4 linked regions of the Saccharomyces cerevisiae S288C genome follow. The gene in region 1 interacts genetically with each later gene. Each region holds a gene or a part of one and is shown in the gene's direction. Other genes may lie near its edges.

Region 1 (7,649 bases):
TTTTAGTCCGTTGGATTTCTGAAGCAGTATTGGCCACAAAAATTTCTTCATTATTTCTACGATTAGAGTTTCTTCTGGATTTTTCTCGTCCCTGAGACTTACTCCTTTTCAAGTCATTTTCAGCAGCAGCTTTGATTAAATCATATCTTGTGATTTTACTTGGAGAGCTATTGTGATGGGAACTTTGTCTGCATGTGACTGTATTAGTCAGAGATGTTATGGGCTTAACCATAAGGGAAGAAACTATGGCACGCATGAATGAATTACTGCTTTTACTGCTGTCATCTGTTGAGTTTGCTGAGTCTTCCGTTCTTGTAGTCTTGGCTGGTGTGAGTAACATTACGTATTGTTTCTGTAGAGAAGATAACTTATAACTTCCGTCTTGTCACTAGTTGTTTTAATTATATGTTTGTTACAAGTTTTTATGTATAGATATATGTTACAACTTTTAGAAGTATTGTGGACATAACAGAGAGAAGGGAATGTTGCTATATTTATATATTTTATATATTGCCCTCAAAACTGTATCTCATCTTTTTTTCTGCAATCCTTGCTTTCGTAATCTAAGTGTGGGTGACATGCTAAATCCGCGGCTTTCCTTAAGCTTTTTCACAAACCATCTATTATGTCCAGAAGCTCCGCTGATTATCCGTGGAAAAGGGTCTTATTCTGCCGTAGGAAACTTCTTCTCGAGAAAAAAGTGAGTTCACCCGCGGCGCTCTCGTAAAACCCGAGGGCCGATTCTTTCCCTCCGTGGAACAATCGGCCCCGCGGCGTCAGAGGGTATTATCTCCGCAAGTGATAGAACTCACATTTATTCTACGTTCTGCATGGTTTTGATTATCTTCTTTTGCACGATGTCACATACTTTTTCGATTACCGTCGCTTTACACAGTAACTGTTTAAAACGAGCGTTCTTAATTAATAACTGTAGGAGAGCAGGCTTTCGGCTTTCTTTATGAGAAATAAGGACTACTCCAGCTTGCCAAGTTTTATCCAGTTACACAAACGCTCAAGATCGCCTCGCTAAAATAGATGAAAAAATAAGAAAAATGAAATGTTCAACCTAATCCCTTTTGGATTTATCATTGAAAGATCGCTGATTTATTCTTTTCCAATACGCCTCGTAATTCTCTTTCAATGTCAAAGGCGCCAGATTGTAAGAATCTGTCATGTAAAATAATCTGACAATACGTAGTTTTAAAAACCAATTGATTAAACCAAGCTCTCTTATGATGCCAACTATAAAAAAATAAAGTGATCCAGTCAGTGCCCCCACGCTGAATCCCACGATTACTTGATCTAAATTGTGGTAGTGCAAGTAAACTCTGGAAAAGCAAACGCAAAACGATAATAAAGCCAATGCACCAGAAAAAATGCATTTTTCTAAGAAGTTTAGATTCTTCCAGGAAGTGTATATCTTCAGAGAGTTATAGGTAAAACAAAACCCCATGAATTGGGAGTGTGCACTGGGCATCCCGTAACCGGATCTTATAGTGTCATTTTGGAACGACGCACCGAACGATACGGGGCGTGGCTGTTTTATTATATTCTTGATCACGTTATTGAATATTTCGTTCATCAATTGGCCAAAGGCTACAATGCAGGCTTCTAACTCTCTTGTGATGATAAACCACGACAAATAAAAAGCTAGCACTAGGATGGGCATCAGCGAGAAATATGCACTAAGGAATGATAGAAAGTCATGCGAATCATAGAGAATGTATGTGTCATCGAATGGTATAACATTTGGATTTGGATTTATTGCAGCGGCGGTACTATTCATGATATGATCCGATTCAAAACAAATTTTGATGTAGATAAAATGCCTGGTATAATGAGTGGTAGAGAAGAAAATTAGACGAAAAGAATGAGAACGAAGAAATGATTTAAAGTGATCACAGTGGCAATCACTTTCCCCTTTTTAACGCGTGTTGAGCAATCGATTGATGTCTCTACCATATGTAGCATTTTCTCAGAAGGCAAACTTTTCTTTTTCTTTCTACTTTTCCAACAAGAAATTTTAAGTTTTCCCAGAAACCCGAATTCTCCTATTTCATCCACCACGTAAGAACGGTTTTCTTCCTGGCGTAATTAAAAGCATAAAGAAAAACTGAACAAGCTCTAGATGTAGATCAGGGTATACATGGTGCGCTTCAGTAAGTGTACTGTACCACTAGTTTGGCGTCTGTCACTTGAATTGCGGATTTGTGTAGAGCAATGAAAGCGCTGCTTCTGCCGCCATCAAAAAAAACTGAGTAGTTATTAAAGCCTATGTATGACAATATAAAAATGTATACAGATCAGTCTGTATATAAATCATGAAAATATCTTTAAAAATTTCAAGAGCGTGTTTCCGCTAAACCTTGTCATATTCAACACAAATCAGTATCATTCTCGGCGTAAATTACATGCGAATCTCCCTAATTGTGATTCAATATTCCAGCGAACCCCGAGAATTTAAATAGAACAGAGTATATGCATTTATTAACAGTTATTACGCCTTGTCCCCAGGGAGAGTAGTAAGGGATATGGGCATTTATAAATGTACATAAGTCACGTTTTTGCAGCCAATAAAATATAATAATAGAATAGTAACAAGGAAAGCTAGGCCAAAACTCCTTACATGGAGCTAGTATACCCCTTTTCTAAGAGGAGTACTTGGCAATCAGTTGATCAACAAGGGCAATGTATTCCTTTTCGGCATCTTCCTGGGATTTACCTTTTAAGTTTTCCCAGGCTTCCCACTTGTAGCGGTCCTTCATGTTGAAAATACCAGGCTTTTCCTTGTCGTTGTCACCTACAGTGGCTTGCTTGTACAGAGCATACAATTCTAATAATTCATCAGTGGAGGGCTTCGTTGGTAGCTCGTTGACGGCTTTAGCTTTTTCTTCGAATAATTGGGAAACCATTTTGCTGAAAACACTAGTTTAACTAATTTTAGAGTTTTAGTCTTCCTTCTTTTGCTTCACACAGTGAAATGATGTACATAACGTACTTGCTTCCGAGACAGACCAATTGATCCAAGCTAGCTATATATATGGCGGTCATTGGGGAGTTGGCCTGGAGCTGTTGAGTTTGCGGACGTGTCAGAGAGCGCGTAGGGCCGCCAGCGCCACCTGTCTTCAGGCACCAAGGCCGTAATCTCTTCCGACGGTCATTTTTTAATGGAATGTTTCAATACGAGAGTTTGTGGCATGTAGTTTAGGAACGGATTATAGAGAATAGTCGAAATATGTTTAGTCCCTACACAAATTGCTAGACTACCTGTTTCGAGTTTCCTCTATTCCTTTGCTAACGGAGCTGCGGTATATAAACCATCGTAGACTCAAAGCCGTTACCCGACAACTATCGGGTATAGTGAAATGCCTATGTTTTCACTTTAAGACCTTAGAAAACTATCATGAGATCTCGCCTTCAGATGCAGATATTTCAGTGGATTCACGAAACAAGAAAAATTCACTGATCGATAACATCTTCCTTTGCTTGATATTCCCTTTTTGAATTTCCCTAACTACCTTTTGTTGTTTACCACATATTCTCTAAAAAGCAGAGTTATTCTTATTTTGTATTTCATTGCATTTTTATCCATTTAGTTAATGACCGAATTAGATTATCAAGGAACTGCTGAGGCGGCTTCTACCTCGTATAGTCGAAATCAAACGGACCTTAAGCCGTTTCCTTCTGCAGGCAGTGCATCTTCATCAATTAAAACGACGGAACCTGTGAAAGATCATAGAAGAAGGCGTTCTTCCAGCATAATTTCACATGTGGAACCGGAGACTTTTGAAGATGAAAATGACCAGCAACTTCTACCAAATATGAATGCTACTTGGGTAGACCAACGCGGCGCTTGGATTATTCATGTGGTCATTATCATACTGCTGAAACTATTTTATAATTTATTTCCTGGTGTTACCACAGAATGGTCGTGGACTCTGACTAATATGACATATGTTATTGGGTCCTATGTCATGTTCCATCTGATTAAGGGTACCCCTTTCGATTTCAATGGTGGTGCTTATGACAACTTGACGATGTGGGAACAAATTGACGACGAGACTTTATATACTCCTTCAAGAAAATTTTTGATTAGTGTCCCGATCGCCCTATTCTTAGTTAGTACTCATTATGCTCACTATGATTTGAAATTGTTTTCATGGAATTGTTTTTTGACAACCTTTGGTGCTGTTGTCCCAAAGTTACCTGTTACTCATAGATTAAGGATTTCTATCCCAGGTATCACAGGTCGCGCCCAAATTAGTTGAACATAGTTTATTTCAATCTTGTATCTAGATGTTTTTGCTATATTTATATTTTCTGGGCCAAATCACTAACGCTTTGAAATTTCAAAAGCCAACAACGGATTTCGGACTTCATTTATGTAAATGAAAAAGAATGTGAACAAAAATTGAAAAAATTCCATATTAATGCACCTTCTAAACCTATTTGTTGAAATTGTATTTAATTCATATAATCATATTCTATTCAAAAAGAATAACAGATAGTATTAGCACTATTTCACGTACTGCTTCTAATACTATTATCACAAAATAGACATCGGAAAACTCAAAAATAACGACAACTGCAGGACTCGAACCTGCGCGGGCAAAGCCCAAAAGATTTCTAATCTTTCGCCTTAACCACTCGGCCAAGTTGCCAATGTATACATTGCTGTTTCCTGGTTTGAAGAAGCTAATCGTGCACGTAAACAACAATCTATACTACAAGTAAAAAAATGGGGAAAAAGATGCTGAAGGTGAGATATATGTGGGTAATTAGATAATTGTTGGGATTCCATTGTTGATAAAGGCTATAATATTAGGTATACAGAATATACTAGAAGTTCTCCTCGAGGATTTAGGAATCCATAAAAGGGAATCTGCAATTCTACACAATTCTATAAATATTATTATCATCGTTTTATATGTTAATATTCATTGATCCTATTACATTATCAATCCTTGCGTTTCAGCTTCCACTAATTTAGATGACTATTTCTCATCATTTGCGTCATCTTCTAACACCGTATATGATAATATACTAGTAATGTAAATACTAGTTAGTAGATGATAGTTGATTTCTATTCCAACATACCACCCATAATGTAATAGATCTAATGAATCCATTTGTTAGTTAATAGTTTAAATGTTTTTATCGGAAGAGGTTTTGTCATCACATCAGCAATGTTCTTCTTGGTCTCGATGTAGTATACGTATAGATTATTACCTGATACTTCATCTCTAAGTCTCATTGCCTTTGTGCCAAAAAATCTGTTTCTAAATTTCTCTTCATTTGTAGACTTAATTATACTGATCGTTGATCTACTATCAGTAAGTAAGCCTTTAATAATTGGTTTCTTGTTAAGTTCTTGCACAAGGTGACTGAGGTTATTCAATAGCGGAATAGCTTCACTGACTGCGTGTATTTCTGCTTCTGTAGTTGAAGTGCATGTTAACGAAGCCTTTGTCGACTTTCCTCCAATCACTTTTCCGTTGAGTAGGAAAATGTTACCAATTTGTGACTTGTAATATGGTTGGTTACCATATGAAGCATCGCTTATTGCGACTAGTTTATTATCTGGCTCGGTAGGTTTGTTTTTGTGCCATATCAGTTGTTTATCTCTAGTGTCCCACATGAATTGTATTAACTCATATGTCATGTCTAAAACTTGCCTAGAGGGGAATAGTATATGTTGAGCAAGTGTGTTGATGTAGTATAGTAAGTCAAATCTAAATTTATATCCAACATATGAAGCTAGACCAATCAACTTTTGCATTTCATGTACCTTCTCTTTGTATTCATCTTCATCTATTTCTAGTTCATCCTGGTCTATATAAAGACCTGGTTGACCTGGAGCGCTAAGTTTTCTTCCTTTTGGATTCAAAGGTACGTTTAATTTGGGTATTTTCTCAGTTAATGAGTTTTCCATACCTAATTTCATGTATTTACCTCTTTGATATTTGATTTCTAAGCCAAGTATGTCGTACTGAATTTCGTTATCACTTTCACCCAGATTTATTATCTTTGTATCGTATTGTTTCTTGAGTGTTGTTATGATTTTCTTATTTGCATTTAAGTCTTTGCTGAACAATATCATATCATCAACGAATAAGCAAATTGTTACTTGACTATTCTTAAATACGCATGACCATCCACGAACTTCTTCCATACCACACTGTTTTATCAGGTATGATTTGATAGTTTCGTACCAGTTCGCTCCACTTTGTTTCAATCCATAAAGTGATTTCTTCAAACGTATCAACTTATCATTCATTCCTAAATGTGGTGGAGGTCTTATGTATAATTCTTCTTTGATGTCTGCATACAAATATGCCGAAGATATGTCTAATTGTGTAATATAGTAGTTATTGTCTAATGCAAGTGACAGGGATGTCATTAATGCATAGTGATGTACGGTATTGGATTGCATGCCTGAGTCGTAAGTGTCAGGATGCTGAATATCACCTCTTGCAACAAATCTAGCTTTATGAGTACCGTCACGTTTCCTGTTGAAGATAAACATTGAATTTATTACTCTTTTAGGGTCTATTTCTTTTCTGTCATAATATTTGTCAGTGTCCCAAGTATTCATTTTCAATAGTTGGTTGACTTCTTTGTGGTATGCTTCGATATATTTTTCCTTTTCTTTAATATCTTTATTATAGGTGATTGCCTCATCGTATCTTAAGGTTGTCCGTATTGGTTTGATTGATTTTACTGCTTTTACAGCTGCAATCAGGTGAATTCGTTTCTTCGATCTCGGAGGTTCTAAACTACGCATATTCTTAGTATTCCATGTGTCTCGTGATACCTTAATTTCAGTTTCATTATCTTCTAATGATCTTTTCTTACTGTTGATAGTAGTATAGGCATTAGAGTCACCAATACCACCCAAACTGGAATTAGTTTGATGAGAATTTATCGGTGGGAGTTCTTTAAATGGGTCAGGGAATTCGGTAGGAGATTCTGGAGGTAGATCAGGGAGTGGGAGATCAGCGATGATAGATTCCTCGGTATTCTGTTCAGAAACAGTAGTTGGCGTTTTGATAGGAACAATATTGTGCGATGAATTATTTTCCGGTGGAGAAGCATCGATTGAAGGTGAACGGTGTATAATCCTTTTCTCAGTCTCTTGGTCACTTATCTGCGGAACAGTTTTGTTGTTGGTACCACCCGTACTGGATATTGGTACGTTTGTATGATTAGTCTCATTTTCACTGTACGAGTCTGAGTGTCTGAAATCTTTAGATTTACTGGCGTGCGACGACTCATGTGTGTTAGATTGGGACATGGGAGCAAGTAAAGGAACATTTAATTTATGCATACCACCCGAACCGGTACTCTCGATATTGGAAATTTGGGGGGTGCTAGATCTCTTCTTTGATGGAAGAATATTAGATTCAGATATGTTGGGGTCAACTTCTCTGGGTGCGCGAATATTGGTTTTAGAAACACGTTTCGAATCTTCAGTATGAGTTGACGGAGGTGTGGAATCGGTTGGACTCACAGCTTTTGAAAGGACATTTCTCGGTTGCTCAGGATGTAGTTCAATGTCGGATTGGAAGTCATGGTCAGATTCTATGTTAAGATCATTGGATTCTTGGATCTCATTTGACGCAATGAACGAATGATATGAAGCAGTTAAA
Region 2 (9,439 bases), on another chromosome or scaffold:
TCACTTCCCCAGCAACATCTGTCGTTAAGCCAGTAAGAGTATTCTCAGGCGAGCTTAGGTTAGGGGCAGATATATTATCAACACAAACATCGAATCCTAGCGGCAGCATGCAAGATGAAAATTGCTTATGTATCAAGGTAGAGGCTTTTCCTGCTACGAAAGCAGTTTCAGGCTTAAATAGGAAAACCGCTGTTGAGGTGGAAGACTCCCAGAAGAAAGAAAGGTATGTGGGGGTCAAATCCATAATCGAATATGAAATTCACAACGAAGGAAATAAGAAAAATGTCAGTGAAGATGACCAGTCTGGATCGTCATACATTCCCGTGACCATCTCCAAAGACTCTGTAACGAAGGCATACCGTTATGGTGCAGACTACGTAGTGCTACCGTCCGTTCTAGTCGATCAAACTGTATATGAATCTTTTCCAGGCTTGGATTTAAGAGGATTTTTGAATAGAGAAGCTCTTCCAAGGTACTTTTTGACGTCGGAATCCTCCTTCATTACCGCCGACACAAGACTTGGCTGTCAATCTGACTTAATGGCTTTCAGTGCTCTAGTGGATGTTATGCTAGAAAATAGAAAAATTGCTGTTGCAAGATATGTGAGCAAGAAAGACAGTGAAGTGAATATGTGTGCATTGTGTCCCGTTCTAATTGAGCACAGTAACATTAATTCCGAGAAGAAGTTTGTTAAGAGCCTTACCTTGTGTAGATTACCATTCGCGGAAGACGAGAGGGTAACTGATTTTCCAAAACTTCTGGATCGAACAACTACATCCGGGGTACCGCTGAAAAAGGAAACAGACGGGCATCAAATCGATGAGCTTATGGAACAATTTGTAGATTCAATGGATACAGATGAGCTACCAGAGATTCCGTTAGGCAACTACTATCAACCCATAGGCGAAGTAACAACAGACACCACTCTCCCACTTCCCTCTTTAAATAAAGACCAAGAGGAAAACAAAAAGGATCCTCTTAGAATACCCACGGTTTTTGTCTACAGGCAACAACAGGTGCTACTGGAATGGATTCACCAACTGATGATCAATGATTCCAGGGAATTTGAAATCCCAGAGCTTCCTGACTCATTGAAAAACAAAATAAGTCCTTACACGCACAAGAAATTTGATAGCACAAAATTGGTTGAAGTGCTCGGCATCAAGAAAGTAGACAAATTAAAACTCGACTCCGAACTAAAAACTGAGCTTGAGAGGGAAAAGATCCCGGACCTAGAAACGCTATTGAAGCGCGGTGAACAACACAGTAGGGGAAGTCCAAACAATAGCAATAATTAAAAAAGGTCTAACATCCTTTGAGTTATGTTTTCGTCACCACAGTTAAAGAGAAAAAAAAATAAATAGCGGGTAAATAATTGTCATACTACTGATTTGCATTGTTACCTTGTAACTTTGAACACTAGCCATGCAGGTTGCTTTTCCTCCTTTACACCTTCCCCCCTGTCGCTGTTCAAAAGTAAATGCAACAACAATAAAACGTGGGTAGAGGACGTTCCCTGTATGTACTAAAATCATACTATCATCCGTTGAGGTCGAGCGGTTCTCTAATCTCAACACACGCTGCTGCCCCTGAGCTTGCGAGCTAAGGACAACAGGGCCAACTTGTTCTTTCTAGGGGGGAGAGGCCCAACTTAGGCTCGGTGAAGAGAAGCGCGGAGCTCACGAAAAGGGGTGGTGTCGCGCACTACTTTTTTCGTGGGGAACTTACGTGAAAGGGGACGTTATACTTTTGTTATGTGCAGTTCCAGGAACAAACAGGGGTTGAAAAGTGTAAAAGAAATAGTTGATTCTTTCAGAATCTGGATGACTGCCGCCCGAACAATGTGGGAAATATAAAAAGGTACCGTTAATATTGTTTCATTTTCGAAGATAGTGTTCCATGTCTTTCTTCAGCGTTGCTTGAACAATAGGATAATAAGAAGAAGATCAACCAATCTTTCTCAGTAAAAAAAGTAACAAAAGTTAACATAACATGTCATTTCAAATTGAAACGGTTCCCACCAAACCATATGAAGACCAAAAGCCTGGTACCTCTGGTTTGCGTAAGAAGACAAAGGTGTTTAAAGACGAACCTAACTACACAGAAAATTTCATTCAATCGATCATGGAAGCTATTCCAGAGGGTTCTAAAGGTGCCACTCTTGTTGTCGGTGGTGATGGGCGTTACTACAATGATGTCATTCTTCATAAGATTGCCGCTATCGGTGCTGCCAACGGTATTAAAAAGTTAGTTATTGGCCAGCATGGTCTTCTGTCTACGCCAGCCGCTTCTCACATCATGAGAACCTACGAGGAAAAATGTACTGGTGGTATTATCTTAACCGCCTCACATAATCCAGGTGGTCCAGAAAATGACATGGGTATTAAGTATAACTTATCCAATGGGGGTCCTGCTCCTGAATCCGTCACAAATGCTATTTGGGAGATTTCCAAAAAGCTTACCAGCTATAAGATTATCAAAGACTTCCCAGAACTAGACTTGGGTACGATAGGCAAGAACAAGAAATACGGTCCATTACTCGTTGACATTATCGATATTACAAAAGATTATGTCAACTTCTTGAAGGAAATCTTCGATTTCGACTTAATCAAGAAATTCATCGATAATCAACGTTCTACTAAGAATTGGAAGTTACTGTTTGACAGTATGAACGGTGTAACTGGACCATACGGTAAGGCTATTTTCGTTGATGAATTTGGTTTACCGGCGGATGAGGTTTTACAAAACTGGCATCCTTCTCCGGATTTTGGTGGTATGCATCCAGATCCAAACTTAACTTATGCCAGTTCGTTAGTGAAAAGAGTAGATCGTGAAAAGATTGAGTTTGGTGCTGCATCCGATGGTGATGGTGATAGAAATATGATTTACGGTTACGGCCCATCTTTCGTTTCTCCAGGTGACTCCGTCGCAATTATTGCCGAATATGCAGCTGAAATCCCATATTTCGCCAAGCAAGGTATATATGGTCTGGCCCGTTCATTCCCTACCTCAGGAGCCATAGACCGTGTTGCCAAGGCCCATGGTCTAAACTGTTATGAGGTCCCAACTGGCTGGAAATTTTTCTGTGCTTTGTTCGACGCTAAAAAATTATCTATTTGTGGTGAAGAATCGTTTGGTACTGGTTCCAACCACGTAAGGGAAAAGGACGGTGTTTGGGCCATTATGGCGTGGTTGAACATCTTGGCCATTTACAACAAGCATCATCCGGAGAACGAAGCTTCTATTAAGACGATACAGAATGAATTCTGGGCAAAGTACGGCCGTACTTTCTTCACTCGTTATGATTTTGAAAAAGTTGAAACAGAAAAAGCTAACAAGATTGTCGATCAATTGAGAGCATATGTTACCAAATCGGGTGTTGTTAATTCCGCCTTCCCAGCCGATGAGTCTCTTAAGGTCACCGATTGTGGTGATTTTTCATACACAGATTTGGACGGTTCTGTTTCTGACCATCAAGGTTTATATGTCAAGCTTTCCAATGGTGCAAGATTCGTTCTAAGATTGTCAGGTACAGGTTCTTCAGGTGCTACCATTAGATTGTACATTGAAAAATACTGCGATGATAAATCACAATACCAAAAGACAGCTGAAGAATACTTGAAGCCAATTATTAACTCGGTCATCAAGTTCTTGAACTTTAAACAAGTTTTAGGAACTGAAGAACCAACGGTTCGTACTTAAAACGAATGATTTACTAATGGCTTAATGATTTTCACCTTTTTCAATGAATATTAACGGTAAAGAAGAAAATTTCAATTTTTTGAACACATACTTTATATACTTAATAGATCCATATTTCGACATATTAGCAAACGATTGCATAGGTTTCTGAGTCTTTTTTTTTTTTTTTTCATAAGGAGGAGAATATTTTGGTTAATCGCAGTATCTTCTTCATAAGTGCTGTTTCTAATTATATCTAATTCACGAATTTTTCCCAAATTAGCGTATCCCCGAATTCAGATTACCTACCCCGAGTTTTTTATTATATTTCCCTCGAGAAATCTGTAAAATGGCCGTCATCCTTAGATTTATAAATAAAATGATAAAATTCAGCCAAAGTGCTCCTAAACCAGAATTGTTCAACTGGGTCAAATTATCGCGTATACAAATATACATATAGTAACATGCATTCCTGGCGAATATCCAAGTTTAAGTTAGGAAGGTCCAAAGAAGATGATGGGAGTAGTGAAGATGAAAATGAAAAATCGTGGGGTAATGGCCTGTTTCATTTCCACCATGGAGAAAAACATCACGATGGTAGCCCGAAGAATCATAATCATGAACACGAACACCATATAAGAAAGATCAATACAAATGAGACTCTCCCAAGTTCCTTAAGTTCTCCAAAATTACGTAATGATGCATCCTTCAAGAATCCATCGGGGATAGGAAATGACAATTCTAAGGCTTCCGAAAGGAAAGCTAGTCAGTCGTCTACTGAGACGCAGGGACCGAGTTCGGAATCCGGACTAATGACAGTGAAGGTGTATTCTGGTAAAGATTTTACTCTTCCCTTCCCTATCACCTCTAACTCTACTATTTTACAAAAACTACTAAGTTCCGGCATCCTTACTTCATCATCCAATGACGCTTCCGAAGTTGCAGCCATAATGCGGCAGCTACCACGATACAAGAGAGTGGATCAAGATTCAGCAGGGGAAGGCTTGATAGATAGAGCTTTTGCCACTAAATTCATTCCTTCCTCTATATTGTTACCTGGGTCAACAAATTCAAGCCCATTACTTTATTTTACAATTGAATTTGATAATTCTATTACTACTATTAGTCCAGATATGGGAACGATGGAGCAACCAGTGTTTAACAAAATATCGACATTTGATGTAACAAGAAAATTACGATTTTTAAAAATCGATGTCTTTGCAAGGATTCCATCCCTACTTTTACCCTCTAAAAACTGGCAACAGGAGATTGGCGAGCAGGACGAAGTACTGAAGGAGATTTTAAAAAAAATCAATACAAATCAGGATATCCATTTGGACTCCTTCCATTTACCTTTGAATTTAAAAATCGATTCTGCAGCCCAAATAAGACTATACAATCACCATTGGATTTCTTTAGAAAGGGGATATGGTAAATTAAATATCACGGTGGACTACAAACCTTCTAAGAACAAGCCTCTCTCCATTGATGACTTTGATCTATTGAAGGTTATCGGGAAGGGTTCGTTCGGCAAAGTGATGCAAGTAAGGAAAAAAGATACCCAAAAGATTTACGCTTTGAAGGCTCTGAGAAAAGCATATATTGTATCGAAATGTGAAGTGACACATACTTTAGCGGAGAGGACTGTCCTAGCAAGAGTTGACTGCCCCTTTATTGTTCCGTTGAAGTTCTCATTCCAATCTCCGGAGAAGTTGTACCTAGTATTAGCTTTCATTAATGGCGGTGAACTGTTCTACCATTTACAACACGAGGGACGATTCAGTCTAGCACGCTCCCGTTTTTATATTGCAGAACTATTATGTGCTCTCGATTCATTACACAAACTTGACGTCATTTATCGTGACCTAAAGCCTGAAAACATTCTATTGGATTACCAAGGACATATTGCACTGTGTGATTTTGGGCTTTGCAAGCTGAACATGAAGGATAATGACAAAACAGACACTTTCTGTGGTACTCCCGAATATTTGGCACCAGAAATCTTGTTGGGGCAGGGCTATACTAAAACAGTTGACTGGTGGACATTAGGTATCTTACTGTATGAGATGATGACAGGGCTGCCACCATACTATGATGAGAACGTTCCTGTTATGTACAAGAAAATTCTGCAGCAACCGCTACTATTTCCTGATGGATTTGACCCTGCGGCAAAAGACCTATTAATTGGCCTCTTAAGCAGAGACCCAAGCAGAAGACTCGGCGTTAACGGTACAGATGAAATTCGTAACCATCCTTTCTTTAAAGACATCTCATGGAAAAAGCTACTTTTGAAGGGCTATATTCCGCCTTACAAGCCAATTGTAAAGAGTGAAATAGATACTGCAAATTTTGATCAAGAGTTCACTAAGGAAAAACCGATCGATAGTGTAGTGGACGAGTACTTAAGTGCAAGTATTCAAAAGCAGTTTGGTGGGTGGACGTACATTGGTGACGAACAGTTGGGTGATTCTCCTTCGCAGGGGAGAAGCATTAGTTAGAAGCAAGCCGAAGCAAGCCGAGCCGAGCCGGACGGAATTTATAGCTATAGCCGCAAGAGGTTGCAATTTTCAAAAATGGATAGTTCAAGTAGATTGCGATACGCACTCCGTTACTATTGTGGTTAACGGGGACAAGAAGAACTACAGAAAATAGAATGGTCCGCAGAGGCTGCGCTCTTCTTTTAGCAACTCTCACACGACTTATGTTGCTTATTCATTTCTTTTACAGCATTATCAGAATTCTTCCATCTACGGAATTGAGATCAAAGACCGACCTGTTGTCGGCCGAAGGACGGACGCTTATACCCGCGGATGTCAAAGCGAAGCCCGCGGGGCGCAAGTCGAGGTTACCGGAATTCGCCAAACGGCAAAGGACCCTTGCATTGCCTGAAAGGAAAGATTCGCTTTTCTGTTTGTTGCCACTTTTCTTACATAGTCTGGGCCGGGAGCAGCTTATTTCTTCCGCGGATGATCCTGGATTTCCTTGCGCGGGCTCAGCCATGGGGAGCCTTACCTAGTCCCGTAAAGGGAAAAAGCTAACCTCATTCGCCTCACAGGGTGAAAGCGTGAACAAAAAAAAAAGAAAAGCTTAATGATTAAAATTTACAGTATATATATATTTGTATTTACGTATTAAACTATATATAAATAGATATGTATGCCGAAAAAGTAAAGTCTGGGTGATGCCTAGTCCAATCTTTCTTACTACTGTCCAGTTTCTATCGTAGCAGTTAATTATACATAGAACTGTGTAAATTCAACGCATTAATTTTTTTTTTTTTCACTTTCGCAGTTAGGGGGGACACATTTTTTTTGCCCTTTCTTAAGCTTCGTAAGCGAGTTACATCATTATTTCTTCCTGGGATACAATACGCGTTCGTACAAGTCACAGCTGGACCGTATAGGGAACAAGACTGCAACTCTCTCCAACTTGTTAAACAGAGGAGGAAAAGAAAGAGGGAAAAGAGGAACAAAGACAATCAAAGAAAAAGAATAGAAAGCAGTTGCTGAGCTCTTGGCATATTGTATACGGTAGTGGCGTATAATATAGTACGAGAATTAGAAATATGACGAATATGGCGGAGGATAAAACAAGTATAAGCAAGGTACATTCTGAATTCAGCAATTCCTCGAATACCACTGGATCTGAAGAGGAGAGTCGGTCGCATCAAGAGAGCTTCGACGGCGAGTCCAGTTCCGGTGAAAGTAAAAGTAAAAGCAAACTAAATCTTGAATATTCTGCAGATATCGAGCCATTGAAGTTCAGAATGACAAAAACTAATAATACAAATGACAAATTAAAATATAGTAACAACGGCAACGCCACTGATTCATTTATGAGACTAAAGGAACATTTACAGAGAGGCAATACTTTAAATTCGAATCTTAGGGTCAATGAGTTTTACCCTTTCAATTCCATTGATACAGAGCAATTTGAAAACTATTTGAGAGAGCCAAAATACATTAAAATGTTGAAACGTCGGAAAAACCTGAAACAATTTAGAAGATTGTTTCTCGCGCAAGAACTAATGGCCTACGAAGGTGAAACGGTTACCTCCACTTCCAAATCATCTGAACCAACCTCTAAAGCTATATGGAGTACAAAGTTTAGCCGCGATGGAAAATTTATGGCCACTGGTAGCAAAGATGGTAAAATAAGAATATGGAAAGTTATTGGCTCTCCAGTTGAAAGAGCCGAATTGGACTCGAGTGCGGAATCAAATAAAGAGGCACGAGCCAAGTCGATGCGGATCAAACAGCAGGTCAGTTCATTGAACAATCCAAAAGAAAAACAATTTTTGGATTCTGCTACAGAGAAATACGAAGAGAAGGAAAAATTATTGAATTTGTATGCGCCTGTCTTTCACCCAACGCCTTTGCGACTGTATAAAGAACACGTGCAAGATGTTCTGGATATAAATTGGTCTAAAAATAATTTTATTTTGTCAGCATCGATGGATAAGACAGTAAAACTATGGCATCCCGATAGGAAAAATTCACTTAAGACATTCATACATCCTGATTTTGTCACTTGTGTGGAATTTCACCCCACCGACGATAGATTTTTCATTAGCGGCTGTCTGGATCACAAATGCAGGTTATGGTCTATACTGGATGATGAAGTTAGCTTTGAGTACGATTGTCAAGACTTAATAACATCTGTTACATTATCCCCTGAGGAGGGAAAATACACTATAATAGGAACATTTAATGGATACGTTCATATTCTGATGACCAGAGGTCTCACTCCAGTTTCTTCATTTCACGTAGCTGATAGACAAACACAAGAACAAAACGCTCACGTCATGGTCACGGAAACTGACTCAAAAATTCGTCATGGTCCACGTGTGACGGGTTTGCAAGCTTTTAGATCTCAACTGGACAATTCTTTCCGCTTAGTAGTTACATCGAATGATTCGAGGATAAGAATTTTTGACTTAGAACAGAGGAAGCTTCTAGAGGTATTGAAAGGCTTCCATAGCGGATCTTCCCAACACAAGGCACAATTGTCCATCTGGCATGGTCAGCCAATCGTTGTAAATAGTAGTGATGACCATTGGGTTTACGGCTGGAGGTTAAAGTCTTCGGATAGAGAGAATGATCAAGACGAACCTAAAAGGAAACCAAAGGGATTGGCTCGGTCCGGAAGTTTGAGAAGCATATTTAGTAAATCAATGAGTAGGTCTTCCAGCCAGAATAACGAAGAAAAACCACATCATCATTTAAAACTTACTAACTTACTTCCCTTGCCTCATCATAGCAACGATCATTATATCAAAAATACGGATTACATTTCTTTTCATGCACACAATGCCCCTGTTACTTGTGTTAGCATTGCACCGCCAGAAACTTCGAAAACATTATCTTTGTCTAACGATGTTATCTGCGAGCTATCTCTAGAGTTTTTTCAGACATCCGATAGTTTCGATGTTTTGAGTCGGAGTAACGACGATGGCATAATGTCAGATGTAGAGTCGTCTTTGGGCTACAATTCTAAACCAGGCTCAATTTCTAATGCTTCCGCCACCAGTGCTATCCCAGATGTCGTTGACGCAATTGGAACGATATTGATCAGTACTGATAACGTAGGGACTATTCGTGTGTTTAGAGCAGATATGCCCTCTGTTATAAGAAAGCGCGTGTTACTCAAACTAGAAGAATACAATAGAGAGGTTCGGAGAAGGTTTAACAGTTCTGATTCTTTGCATTCTTTGAGTCGAAGCTTCAACTCGAGAGCGAAATCAAACTTGGCTGGCCAA
Region 3 (8,361 bases), on another chromosome or scaffold:
CGACGGTACAAAGCTTTGGCCTTGGCTTTTTCGTCAGCCGCTTCGGCATATAACACCTCCGATGAGGCTACTAATACTTGCTTGTAATCTTTTAATTTAAGAGCACAGATGGCAATATTCAATGGAATAGACACTTTCAATTGATTGATTTTTTCAATTTGTTCCTTCTCCAAATCTTCTGGGAAATACTCTTTCAAGAATTTATCACATTTGACATATTTTTCTAAAGCCACGGAATAGTTCTGTTTCTTGAACTGTTCAGTACCAATGTTCTTTACCGTTTCGATAGCTTTCAAGACGGTGTCGAAATTCTTCAAGTCAACTTTTTCGTCTTGTTTTAAAACATCTTCATAATTATCGCCGTACTCATCTGTTGGTGTAGCTTCGGCATTCTCTGGCACTTGATAATCGTCAGGTAACACGCCACAGTCATCAATCTTTACATCACGCAATGGCTTGTTGTTTTCTTGGTCACATTGTTGGTTTTCAATCAAACGAACAATTCTTTTACCTTGAATCACTTCACCAAACACAACGTGCTTCCCGTCCAAATGAGGTGTAGGAACACAGGTTATGAAAGCTTGAGATCCATTGGTATTTGGACCGGCGTTGGCCATGGATAGAAGGAATGGTTTATCATGTTTAACAGTGAAATTTTCATCCTCGAATTTTTCATCGTATATGCTCTCACCGCCAGTACCATTAAAATTGGTAAAATCACCAAATTGACACATGAAGTCTTTGATCACTCTGTGGAAAATGGAACCCTTGTACGACAATGGTACATCAGGTTTAGTCTTTGCCATACCAGCATTTCCTTCACACAACTTCAAAAAATTTTCAGCCGTTTTAGGCACTATGTCATTGTACAACTCAAAAACTATACGGCCTTGGGGTTTACCTCCAATAGAAATATCAAAAAAAGTTTTAGGTCTAGTCATTTTTACTCCTTGATCGCCTGAATATTGTCTTACCAGTTTTCTATGTGATGTGAGCGCATCAGCACCTCTGATATTCGACTTATTTAAATAATTTTCTGTCTGAACTTTCTCCAGCTAGGGCGGAAAAATATTCTAGAAGCTCATAGAAATGCCGTTCAAAAGCGTAACAGTTATGTTCTATAAAGGGAAACAATGTGTTTCGATCACTGCAGCTGTCTATTATATACAAGTTATACATCACGACATTTAGATTTTCATTTCTTCTTTTCCGAATCCTTACTGGTCGTCCCATCCACGTCCACTGTGCTTACGCGCTCTCTATTACCATTCTTTTCCCAACACTTCCTAAATAACGCCATCTCGTTGAAGCACTGCCTCCAGTCACCTGTTTCGGCATGGCACAGCTGTAATGCGAGGTTCTCTACGTAGCATCCGGTCTTGGATATTCTCGTGTCCCACACATCCGGGTCTTCGTCTTCTTGGACCTCTTTGTATTCTTCCAGCGCCTGCTTATAATACTCTGAAGTTTCGCCAGTTTCACTCATGACCAGTCTGCCAGTTTTAGCCTGCCAGAGCTTTTCTTTCCCTTTAATCTTCCCTTGTTTGGCGCAACTCTTAGAAGTGCCTTTCACTACCTTTAATGGCTGAGGCCCCTTTTTTTGTTTCGGACATTTGTTGTGAGAAAAAAAAGAAGAAAATAAAAGCATAAATGAAGCGAATGGATGAGAAGAGGGGAGGGAAAGCAAGAACGAGAAGGACAAACATCAGGGACCCATACTTCAATAAATTGCTTGATTTGGTGTTAATCAATTCTTCTAACATCAAACCTCTTTTAGTTTCCTTCGATCGTTTCACGTTGCTTATATTGATTGCTTTTTACTTCTATTTTTTCACTAGAATAAACAAACAAAGACATTCTGTTGATCAAGAAAGTTGAAAATGGTATTTGGTTTTACAAAGAGGGACAGGAGGGTACCTGATTTATCTAGGTATGATTACTACTATCAGAACCATGAAGATTATAACAAAAGTCCTCAGCTCTCTGCTGCTGCTGCCTCTGCTGCTTCTGCCGCATCACCGGATCGAACCAATTACTCAAGGTCGCACTCGCTGGTTAGTCATGCACCTTCAATACCGAGACAAAGAAGTTCGGTAAAGAGCCCAGGAAGAAGGCTTTCCACATCCTCTGCCGCTCCGCCAACGTCCAGGGCAGCAGCTAAGCAGTATTCACAGAAGACTTACTCGTTGAGGTCGCAAAGGAGCGGAGAGTACCATTTACACCCGCCCGGTTATACTACTAATGGGAGCCGTATGAATTCTATGACGTCTGGTGCGAATGTCAGAAGAAACTACGGTAAGAACAAATCGACGGCCGGCAACAATAACGATTCAAGGGCCAACTCCATTACCGTAAAGACTACACAAGTAACAGACCCTTCAGGAAGGACTCAATCAATTACCAAAAAGACAATAAGAAAAATAAATGGGTATGAATACGTAGAAACCACGACTACGACTAAGAATTTGGTTCCATTAGGTGACTCGCAGCGTCATTTCGATGAATTTAGTGAAAATTACATGTTGCAAGATGACGACATTTTAGAGGAACAAGCTAGTGATAACATTCACGATATAATCGAGGAAAACGAAACAGATAACGAAAAGCCATATTCCCCAGTAAGCGAAAGTCATTTACAAGATGATTCAGAGCTAAACGTGGAAAAACCAGATTTCCCACTTGGATCATATTTCCACCATAAGTATTCTACAGACGTTATGCCTCTAGAAGAAGAAAGTAGTTTATCAAACTTCAGTGACGCATTAGATTATATTCCTCCCACCCATCAGACCAGTAGTAAATATATTCATAATAAAAGGAAGCAAGCATCGACGACAAGAAGGAAGAAAAGACCGCCTGCCGTGAAAAACGCAGAAGCAGAGGCCAAGAAACCATTAACCGAAGCAGAAATGTATCTGAAGGCACTAGAGGTTGCTAAAAGAAACGTTTATCACACGGATGCTGCTTCGGATAACGCATCGGCCCCCCTCGGGAGTAACAAATCCAGGAAAAGTAGGATGGGTCAAAAAATGACCTTGAGAAGCAGTAGTGATTCTCCGACGGCGACTGCTAATCTTGTCAAATCTAATGTCGAGGTTCAACCAAAAAGATTTACAAGTTCCTTCTTCAGCAGAAATACTAAAAGCGCCCCCCATGAAGTGCACAATCACTCTGTGTCTACACATTTTAAATCGAATAAGGCTGTTGACCCAGTTCCAGAGCCTAAAAGTGCAAACACAGGGCTAACAGATAAAGAAATGTATGACCAAGCTTTGAAAATCGCACAAGCGAGGTATTACAACTCACATGGTATTCAACCTGAAGCAGTCGATAATAGCACTACGGCGGCTAAACCTCGTCAGGTCGGCGTTAGCCATCTGGGATCCACTGGGAGCATCCCGCCCAATGAGCAGCACTATTTAGGGGATTCTGAAATTCCAGTCCAAAGCGAAGTGCATGAATACGAGCCCATTCCATTGCAGAAGACAAAAACAACTGGTTCTTCCAAAAATAAGTTCAAAACCATGTTCGATAAAGTGCTGCAATTCTCTCAAGAAAACTACGGCTACCAGCACAAGAAGGAACAAGGCGAACAAACTCCAGTTACTCGTAATGCTGAAGAAAGCTTCCCAGCAGCGTCTATTTCGGAAGGTGTGACAACCGCAAAGCCATCTTCAAACGAAGGTGTGATGACGAATCCAGTAGTTACAGATTCACCTTCACCCCTTCAACAACAAATAGACTCGACTACTGCGTCCTCGAATGGGCAAAGTCAGGGCAATGTACCTACCTCCGCAGTAGCTTCAACAACGAGAACAAGATCACCGGAACTGCAGGATAATCTAAAGTCTTCTTCTTCGCTTTTACAGGACCAAACCCCTCAGCGTCAGGAAGACGCCACGGATCCAACAACATCATCGACGAATGAATTATCTGCCGCTGAGCCAACAATGGTCACTTCGACACATGCCACTAAGACAATACAGGCTCAAACACAAGATCCTCCCACGAAGCACAAGAAGTCCAGTTTCTTCACTAAACTGTTCAAGAAAAAAAGCAGCCGTTAGCAGTTGTTTACTCGAATTTTGCAATCAACCCTAATTTTTGAAGCCTGGTTTTAGATTTATTCTCTTCTTTTTCTTCTTGTGAACTTCAATTACTAATGTAACTTAATTTTTAATATAACTTTTACAGTTTAATAATATTGATTTTTTTCGGTCTGGACCAATCGCGCCGCATTTCTCACTAATATTACTAACATACCCTCTTCTCATTGGCTCGGTACCCCTTTCGTGACCCGCATTTTTTGTTTTCTTTGTTAGCCCGAATGTCTCACAATGAAGATGTAAAATTAAGATTATATATGAAAAATTGATACAAAACAAAATAGTTCAAATAATCAAGTTAAAGCGACATCACTCTCAATTTTTGCTTTTTTTAGGTTTATAGAATAGAAATATAACAGAACGAAGCCTTTAGACTCTTTTTTTTTATTGGTATATTGAACAAAGAAACTTTTTTTTTGTCCTCCCATATCTCGTGCACACAAATATTATGTCCATTGTAGCACTAAAGAACGCAGTGGTGACCCTTATACAGAAAGCGAAAGGTAGTGGTGGAACCTCAGAGTTGGGGGGGTCTGAATCAACTCCCTTGTTGAGGGGTAGTAATAGCAATAGTTCAAGGCATGATAACTTATCCTCATCTAGCTCGGATATTATCTATGGTAGAAATTCAGCGCAGGATCTAGAAAACTCACCGATGTCAGTAGGGAAAGATAATAGGAATGGCGATAACGGTTCGGATAACGAAAAGGCGAACCTAGGGTTCTTCCAATCAGTAGATCCTCGCGTAATTAGCGATTTGATTATCGGGCTAAGCGACGGTTTAACCGTCCCCTTTGCTCTAACAGCTGGTCTATCTTCACTTGGTGATGCGAAATTGGTCATTACCGGTGGCTTTGCTGAGTTGATCTCAGGTGCGATTTCTATGGGCCTTGGTGGCTATTTGGGAGCGAAGAGTGAATCTGATTATTATCATGCTGAAGTAAAGAAGGAGAAAAGGAAATTTTACGATAACTCCAACCTAATTAACAGAGAAATTGAAGACATTCTGTTAGAGATTAACCCTAATTTCTCGGACGAAACAATCGTTTCGTTCATCAAAGATTTACAAAGAACACCTGAGCTAATGGTTGACTTCATTATCAGGTACGGTAGGGGTCTAGACGAACCTGCCGAGAATAGAGAACTAATCAGTGCAGTCACTATCGGTGGCGGTTATCTACTTGGTGGGCTAGTACCACTAGTGCCATATTTTTTTGTCTCAGATGTGGGCACAGGTCTCATTTATTCTATAATAGTCATGGTTGTAACATTATTCTGGTTTGGTTACGTAAAGACAAAACTATCCATGGGTAGTGGCAGTTCGACTTCAAAGAAAGTTACGGAAGGTGTTGAAATGGTTGTTGTGGGTGGTGTAGCAGCAGGTGCGGCTTGGTTCTTTGTTAAGTTACTGGGTTAAGTGTAAAGTAACAACACTATACATATTTATTGTAAAGAAATTTGGGATTGAGAAGCTTTGCTATATACTTGGAACTGGGCTGGATTTTCTCGACATACATTTCTTTTACGTTTTAATTTGTTTCTATATTCTCCTCTTTAAATTTATTTATATTAATGAATTTCAAACTAGTTTCTTTTTCTATTGCCAAGAGGCCCATCAGGTGATCCATGATAACCTTTATTCGCATTGAATCGTTTTTCATTGGATCTAATTCGTCATTTGGTCGCCGCCTTTCTTTGCTCCTTCTGCTTTTTTCTTTTTCTCTTTGACTATCAGGTCATAAGATCTTCTCCTCCATTATGCCCAAGTGTTTTTCTTTTTTTTGCCTTTATATAAATTACAAAATACATACATATACTTCTCGTGCAGTATACTGGAATCAGCTTTATACCATATGAAGCACAACTTGGATCAGGACCGCTCTTCATTAAAAATCGAAGAATTATCTAAATAATTAATGTGCACGTCAATATATTCTCCGCGGAAACATGACAAACTTTTAGAAAAAGATTTAAAGCAATATTTTTCAGTTCTCCATTTCTTTATTTTTCAAGACCAATTCTAGTTCACCAATATCAAACATTCCTATGCCTTCCTGCAGAGCATCTGCCAAAATGGATAGTGATTTATTCGTGAAATCCGGGGCAGCTCTAAGACGATTGATATCATCACCGTAGTTTTCAAAAAGTAAATTTAAGTATTCTTCCCTTAACTTTGTCTTGTCTTTCCCTTTGGGCACAAAGTTTTCTGCCAATTCATTGTATTCTTCTCTCGCAAGCTTGATATTTTCGGCAATTTTCGATGCATTCATAAAACCCTCCTTGTTTTGAGATTTCGTAGGCTCTGGGATCTTGCTCAAAGAAATTTTGGTTAAATCGTCTATCACTTCTTTTGAATTTAACTTCAAATCCTTGCTTTCTTCGTCTGTAAGCTCGACATCCGAAACTTCTATTGCAATGTCCTCTTGTTTGTCTTCGTCATTACCTTTTGAGAAAACATGATCACTTTTACCATTTTCTCCAACGTGTTCTTCGATGGCCCCATTTTGGATTTCCTCCTTTTCACTTTCTGATGATGGATCCGATGATGAAGAATCTGATGATGAAACATCAGCTGTTCTTCTCTTCTTCCTCCTTCTGTTTTTTTTGACAGACTTGATATTTATGGCTGATATATCACCTGCCGACATCCTGTATAATATATTATGGCTAGTTCTTTCCGTGCTATTTCAAGTGGGCAGTTTAAATTCTTGTATATATTACTACAATATATGAAAGTTTTCGCTCTTCGTTTTTTGCAAATTTTTAGTGATGAGCTCTTCGCGCAAAGAAGTTTTCAATGCCCGTAAAGGCACCTAATTATATATCGAATTATTTTAAGCTTTCCGCTTCATCAATGCATTTTGTCTTTATATATCTAGTTTACAAAATAATATGTTGCTATTGCCTTGCTTTTAAAGGCTCAATATCTTGGACTTACTGCCTAGAATAGCTTATCCATTTCCACTAGCGCGTAGTCTAATATGTAACTTTGTTCAACTAAGTTATCAACCCTTGTGAAATGCCTTTGCGTGTATGGAATTATTGCATCAACTATCTTTACCATTCCGGGTATCTCACTCAATTTTGCTATGTTATGATGCATCAAAATACATCTTATTGTTCTTTGCGCTATGGTATGTGTTTTTGCATTTGTATTCCAATCTCTGCATCGTTTCATTAACAAAATTAACTGTTCATCATTTAGGATAGAGATGGCTTGGTCCAATTCTTCATTGAAAATGACTTCAATTTTGCCCTCTTCGGTATCTTGTCTAGACCTTGATTCGCCCAAAGCTCTTTTCAAAACATTAAACAACCTCATTGGGTGATCTAAAGTCATTGCTAACAAAAATGCATTTGTCCAATCACCTTTGCTCATATAATTTTGAAGCGATTGTTCTTGTTCGACTTGTAATTTAGCTTTTTCTTGTTCTTCTTCTATTTCTTGTTCCGTACAATCTTTCCAAAACTGAAAAACACCATCTGCATCAGCACTTACGATCATATCACCATCATTCATAGTACTTAAAGCCCATAATCTATTATTATGACCATCCAAAGTCTTCAGACATTCACCGCTAGAACAATCCCATATTTTGATCAAGCCATCAGCACCACAACTGATCAGTTGTTTTTGCTTATTAATAAACGAACATCTTTGAACCGCATTGGTATGACCTTCCAATGTTTTCATAACGCTGAATGTATCCAATGACCATATCTTGACTGTTTTATCACCTGAAGAAGTTGCCAATAATTTATCATATTGGCAAAATGATACATCCCATAGTCCACGCTTGTGGTTGGCCAACGTGGCTTCCAATTCACCATTTTCTAGGTTCCAGATCTTACAGGTCTTGTCGTATGATGCTGTTGCAAAAATAGAATCGTTAGGAGAAACTGACAAAGCATTGATATCCTTTTCATGGGCATGACGAGTATATTCGGATACCTTGATGATTTGAACATCCATACTAGCAGTTGGCTTTGGAATTATCCATTTCTTAATTGTTAAATCATTCGATGCTGTCAATAAAAATTCAGGATATCCCTTTGAAACTATATTTGGCAATCCAACAGCAGTTACGGCAGCTGAATGACCAATATACTTGGCATAAATATCAAACTTGCAGCTGTTCTCATTGTATCTCCAAACAATAGCCGTATTATCTTTAGAGGCGGTTGCGATCCACAGGCCATCCTCAGTAGCATCCAATGAATTTAGCAAATCTTCATGACCTTCATAAATTTCGAC
Region 4 (4,356 bases), on another chromosome or scaffold:
CGAGCCTTATGTATCAAATTCATTATTCCCTCTTTGTCATCATTTATCTGTTGGAAATCATCACCCTTTTTCAAAAGCTGCTCGATGGCTATCTTTTCGGATATCTTAGCCTTGGCCTGAAAATCATAGTTGATCCAGTCCCGTAACTCCGGATCATCGGATTCAAAAATGTCGTAATCCTTTGTAAATAGTTTCCATAATGACCCAAGCGTAACGCCTTTTTGACTGATAAAGCTTTTAGTGTGTCTAAACAAATTTGGGACTGTCCAATACAATTCGGGGATGATGATCGTAAATCCATATTTCTTATTAGTTCGGAGCATCTCCAAAAAGGGATCGTAGGTAATATCACAGAAAAACTCAACATCGGGTTCCAATCTCCAATACCATTCGTACTTCTGTACTAGCGGGTGCTTGTAAAATAATCCTGAATAAAACCGGCACATCTTATGATATGATTCTAAGTTTCCGTAAAGTATGCTTCTATCACCTTGATCCTCAATTGCGTTGTAGAACTCGAACGTATCCTTTACGTCACTGGGAAAATTCCAAGATATCTCATCGATAGTGCCAAATTCCACCAGCGCGCCCACTGTAACATCACGTACTTTTGCTTTGAAGTCCTCTTCAAACGGCTGGTCATTTAAGAACACATATGGATAGTGGAACCACTGATTGAAATGCTCTTCTATACTGTTGATAGTCTTGATAACATCTTCTAGCTCCCCGTTCCTTGTTAGCATGACAAACGAGGCATTCTGCTTGATGTACGATGGATTCAACAAATAGTCCTGAGTATTCACACAATTCGAATAAAAGGGTCTGTCCCTCTTCGTCGCAAGATCCATCTTGGAAAACGGAAGAAAATTTCCCATAGTTCCGTCTACGGATGCAGGCTCAGATACAAGTACCACATACATGGTTATGACGAAGGCAATCAGGATGCACGTCGCCGTAAGATTGCAATGGATACATCCCAGAAATGCATTTATCGTCCTTCTTATTAGCAACATCTGCTACCTTATGACGATGTGCCGTATTGAGACACATTTATTGATGACACCTCCATTGAACAAGACTATTTGTGCACGGAAGCACTCATATCTACTACTTCGCATTTTTTTGAAGACCCTTTCTCGAATGCCTGCCCAAATTTTTCAATTTTCTTGGCATCATCCACACACCGCATGCTTAAAGTGTACTATCCAAAAAATGAGAGAAAAAGCAAATACCTAAAAGCACCCCACCTCTTCCATATCCCACGTAATGGCAATTGGCATATATGCTCGGCAAGGGAAATTACTGGTCGTAATATAGTGCAACATGCAACTTGCCAGGCGCACTATAGTCACATCTTATTATGTTAGCAGTTGAGCTCCAGCTTTGACTGCACTTTAGCTTAGTTGCAACTTCGCCCCTCTGTTGGGGGCTGAAAAGTACATCCGCGCATTTAACAATTGCTAAGCTATCTTGAATAACATTATACTAATTAATATCTATAGAAGCAGAATGTCTACTACGTCGAGGACCCTACCCCTGTATTTGTGCCTTGCATGAGCGAGCTATATATCAGCGATACGTTTTTTTGTTTTCCTTTCGACCTTCTTGCCTACCCTCTCACTTTTCCCACCTGAATTTTTTTTATCATATTAGTCCGATATTGAGTTTATAAACCTTGTGAAGTGCTAGATAAAGTACAATCAAAAGAGCAGGCAATAGCCATCACAGCAGTTTAGTACGATTATACACTCTGAACGCGAGTAAAACTAGGTTGTATTTTTAGTCTCGATTGGAAGTTTCGTCAGACAGTACAAGGAAGATGTCATTCAGCAACGGAAATATGGCTTCCTACATGACTAGTAGTAATGGAGAGGAGCAAAGTATAAACAACAAAAACGATATAGACGATAACAGCGCTTACAGACGTAATAATTTCAGGAATAGTAGCAATTCAGGATCACATACGTTCCAATTATCGGACTTGGACTTAGATGTGGATATGAGGATGGATTCCGCCAATTCATCGGAGAAAATATCAAAGAACCTTTCCTCTGGCATCCCGGACTCATTTGATTCTAACGTGAACAGCTTGCTGTCTCCGTCAAGCGGTTCTTATTCTGCAGATTTGAATTACCAAAGTCTATACAAACCAGATCTTCCACAGCAACAGTTACAACAGCAACAGTTACAACAGCAACAGCAACAGCAACAGCAACAACAACAGCAACAGCAGAAGCAAACACCAACTTTAAAAGTCGAACAATCTGATACATTTCAGTGGGACGATATCTTAACACCTGCTGATAATCAACATCGGCCATCCCTCACAAACCAGTTTTTATCTCCAAGATCTAATTACGATGGTACCACTAGGAGCTCGGGCATTGACTCCAATTATAGCGATACAGAATCAAACTATCATACGCCTTATTTGTATCCACAGGACTTAGTTTCTTCACCTGCGATGTCTCACTTAACCGCGAATAACGATGATTTTGACGATCTTTTGAGCGTCGCATCTATGAACTCAAATTATTTACTGCCCGTAAATTCACATGGTTATAAACATATTTCAAACCTTGATGAGTTGGATGACTTGCTATCTTTAACATATTCAGACAATAACCTTTTATCAGCATCAAACAACAGTGATTTCAACAACAGTAATAACGGAATTATTAATACCGCTGACACTCAAAACAGTACCATTGCCATTAATAAAAGTAAAGTCGGTACTAACCAAAAGATGTTATTGACTATTCCAACTTCTTCCACACCTTCTCCTTCCACTCATGCTGCCCCGGTAACACCCATCATTTCTATACAGGAATTCAATGAGGGACACTTCCCAGTTAAAAACGAAGATGACGGAACGTTACAACTAAAAGTTCGGGATAACGAAAGTTATAGCGCTACTAACAATAACAATCTACTTCGTCCAGATGATAATGATTACAACAACGAAGCTCTCAGTGATATTGACCGCTCCTTCGAAGATATCATTAACGGTCGAAAATTGAAACTTAAAAAATCAAGAAGAAGATCTTCTCAAACTTCCAATAATAGTTTCACTAGCAGGAGATCCTCGAGATCAAGAAGCATATCTCCCGATGAAAAAGCTAAATCTATAAGTGCAAATAGGGAAAAGTTATTGGAGATGGCAGATCTTTTACCATCCAGTGAAAATGACAATAATCGGGAGCGCTATGACAATGATAGCAAAACTAGCTATAACACCATTAACAGTAGCAATTTTAATGAGGATAATAATAATAACAATTTGTTAACAAGTAAACCAAAAATTGAATCGGGCATTGTCAATATTAAAAATGAACTAGATGACACTAGCAAAGATCTTGGCATACTTCTAGACATAGATAGCTTGGGCCAATTTGAGCAGAAAGTTGGTTTCAAAAATGATGATAATCACGAAAATAACGATAATGGCACATTTTCTGTTAAGAAAAATGACAATCTAGAAAAACTAGACAGTGTAACAAATAATAGGAAAAATCCTGCGAATTTTGCTTGTGATGTATGTGGTAAGAAGTTTACAAGACCTTATAACTTAAAGTCACACTTAAGAACGCATACAAATGAAAGGCCATTTATTTGTTCTATTTGTGGTAAGGCGTTTGCACGTCAACATGATAGAAAGAGACACGAAGATTTGCATACAGGTAAGAAAAGGTATGTATGCGGTGGTAAGCTGAAGGACGGTAAACCCTGGGGTTGTGGCAAAAAGTTTGCAAGAAGTGATGCTCTTGGTAGGCATTTTAAAACTGAAAGTGGTAGAAGATGCATCACTCCCTTGTACGAAGAAGCCAGACAGGAGAAATCGGGACAAGAGAGTTAATTATTTTTGTTTTTTTAAGCTTTGAATAGGAATTTTTTTTTTCTATATAATAAATATGTAATTTCATAATGACAGTGTAGAAATTATGGCTAATCTAATCCATGCAAAGGTATTATTTGGTTATTGTTTTTGTAATGAAATAGTATAAAACAGTGATATTCTTACGGATTAATAGTTTTTACGCCCGTCTGAATTTTCTAAGCTGCCGAAAATAATGGCAAGTAACAAAAAGTTATTGTATGAGGATGCGTTTTACGTGGCAAAAGTTTTGATGCCAAATAGACAAAAGTAGCTCAATTCAACATGACCTCATCATCTGGTGTTGATAATGAGATTTCCTTAGACAGCCCGATGCCAATTTTCAATGAGAGTTCTACTTTAAAGCCAATTAGGGTTGCGGGTGTAGTAACAACAGGGACAGATCATATCGACCCTAGCGTACTACAGGCATACTTAGATGATACTATTATGAAATCCATTACTTTGGGGCAGCTAGTGAA

What was found.
Region 2: of ORM1 (region 1) and YPK2, a mutation in one rescues a mutant of the other (synthetic rescue), as found in Saccharomyces cerevisiae (2 studies listed by BioGRID, with this or other methods).
Region 3: of ORM1 (region 1) and CCC1, extra expression of one rescues a mutant of the other (dosage rescue), as found in Saccharomyces cerevisiae (one study listed by BioGRID).
Region 4: of ORM1 (region 1) and CRZ1, changing one suppresses a phenotype caused by changing the other (phenotypic suppression), as found in Saccharomyces cerevisiae (one study listed by BioGRID).

Annotation. Positions count from the first base shown.
Region 1 is NC_001139.9:557,083-564,731, forward strand, and holds ORM1 (sphingolipid homeostasis protein ORM1), read left to right. Parts: upstream 1-3,599; coding exon 3,600-4,268; downstream 4,269-7,649. Other genes in the region: YGR035C (uncharacterized protein), read right to left, coding at 1-340; YGR035W-A (uncharacterized protein), read left to right, coding at 483-704; CAX4 (dolichyldiphosphatase), read right to left, coding at 1,067-1,786; long-chain fatty acid transporter ACB1, read right to left, coding at 2,649-2,912. UniProt on the Saccharomyces cerevisiae protein: Component of the SPOTS complex that acts as a negative regulator of sphingolipid synthesis. Acts by inhibiting serine palmitoyltransferases (LCB1 and LCB2) activity.
Region 2 is NC_001145.3:470,160-479,598, reverse strand, and holds YPK2 (putative protein kinase YPK2), read left to right. Parts: upstream 1-4,145; coding exon 4,146-6,179; downstream 6,180-9,439. Other genes in the region: ATP-dependent DNA helicase YKU80, read left to right, coding at 1-1,298; YMR105W-A (uncharacterized protein), read right to left, coding at 1,341-1,535; phosphoglucomutase PGM2, read left to right, coding at 1,993-3,702; YMR103C (uncharacterized protein), read left to right, coding at 6,335-6,697; LAF1 (Laf1p), read left to right, coding at 7,247-9,439. UniProt on the Saccharomyces cerevisiae protein: Plays an essential role in the proliferation of yeast cells. Involved in a signaling pathway, required for optimal cell wall integrity, that acts in parallel with the PKC1-SLT2-dependent pathway.
Region 3 is NC_001144.5:572,271-580,631, forward strand, and holds CCC1 (Ccc1p), read left to right. Parts: upstream 1-4,554; coding exon 4,555-5,523; downstream 5,524-8,361. Other genes in the region: peptidylprolyl isomerase CPR6, read right to left, coding at 1-941; COA4 (Coa4p), read right to left, coding at 1,196-1,648; MSC3 (Msc3p), read left to right, coding at 1,881-4,067; RSA3 (Rsa3p), read right to left, coding at 6,092-6,754; U3 snoRNA-associated protein UTP13, read right to left, coding at 7,048-8,361. UniProt on the Saccharomyces cerevisiae protein: Has a role in both calcium and manganese homeostasis. Involved in the transfer of iron and Mn(2+) from the cytosol to the vacuole for storage of these metals.
Region 4 is NC_001146.8:577,761-582,116, forward strand, and holds CRZ1 (DNA-binding transcription factor CRZ1), read left to right. Parts: upstream 1-1,819; coding exon 1,820-3,856; downstream 3,857-4,356. Other genes in the region: KTR5 (putative mannosyltransferase), read right to left, coding at 1-1,013; SAM complex subunit SAM50, read left to right, coding at 4,160-4,356. UniProt on the Saccharomyces cerevisiae protein: Involved in the regulation of calcium ion homeostasis. Binds to the calcineurin-dependent response element. Transcriptionally regulates PMC1, PMR1, PMR2A and FKS2.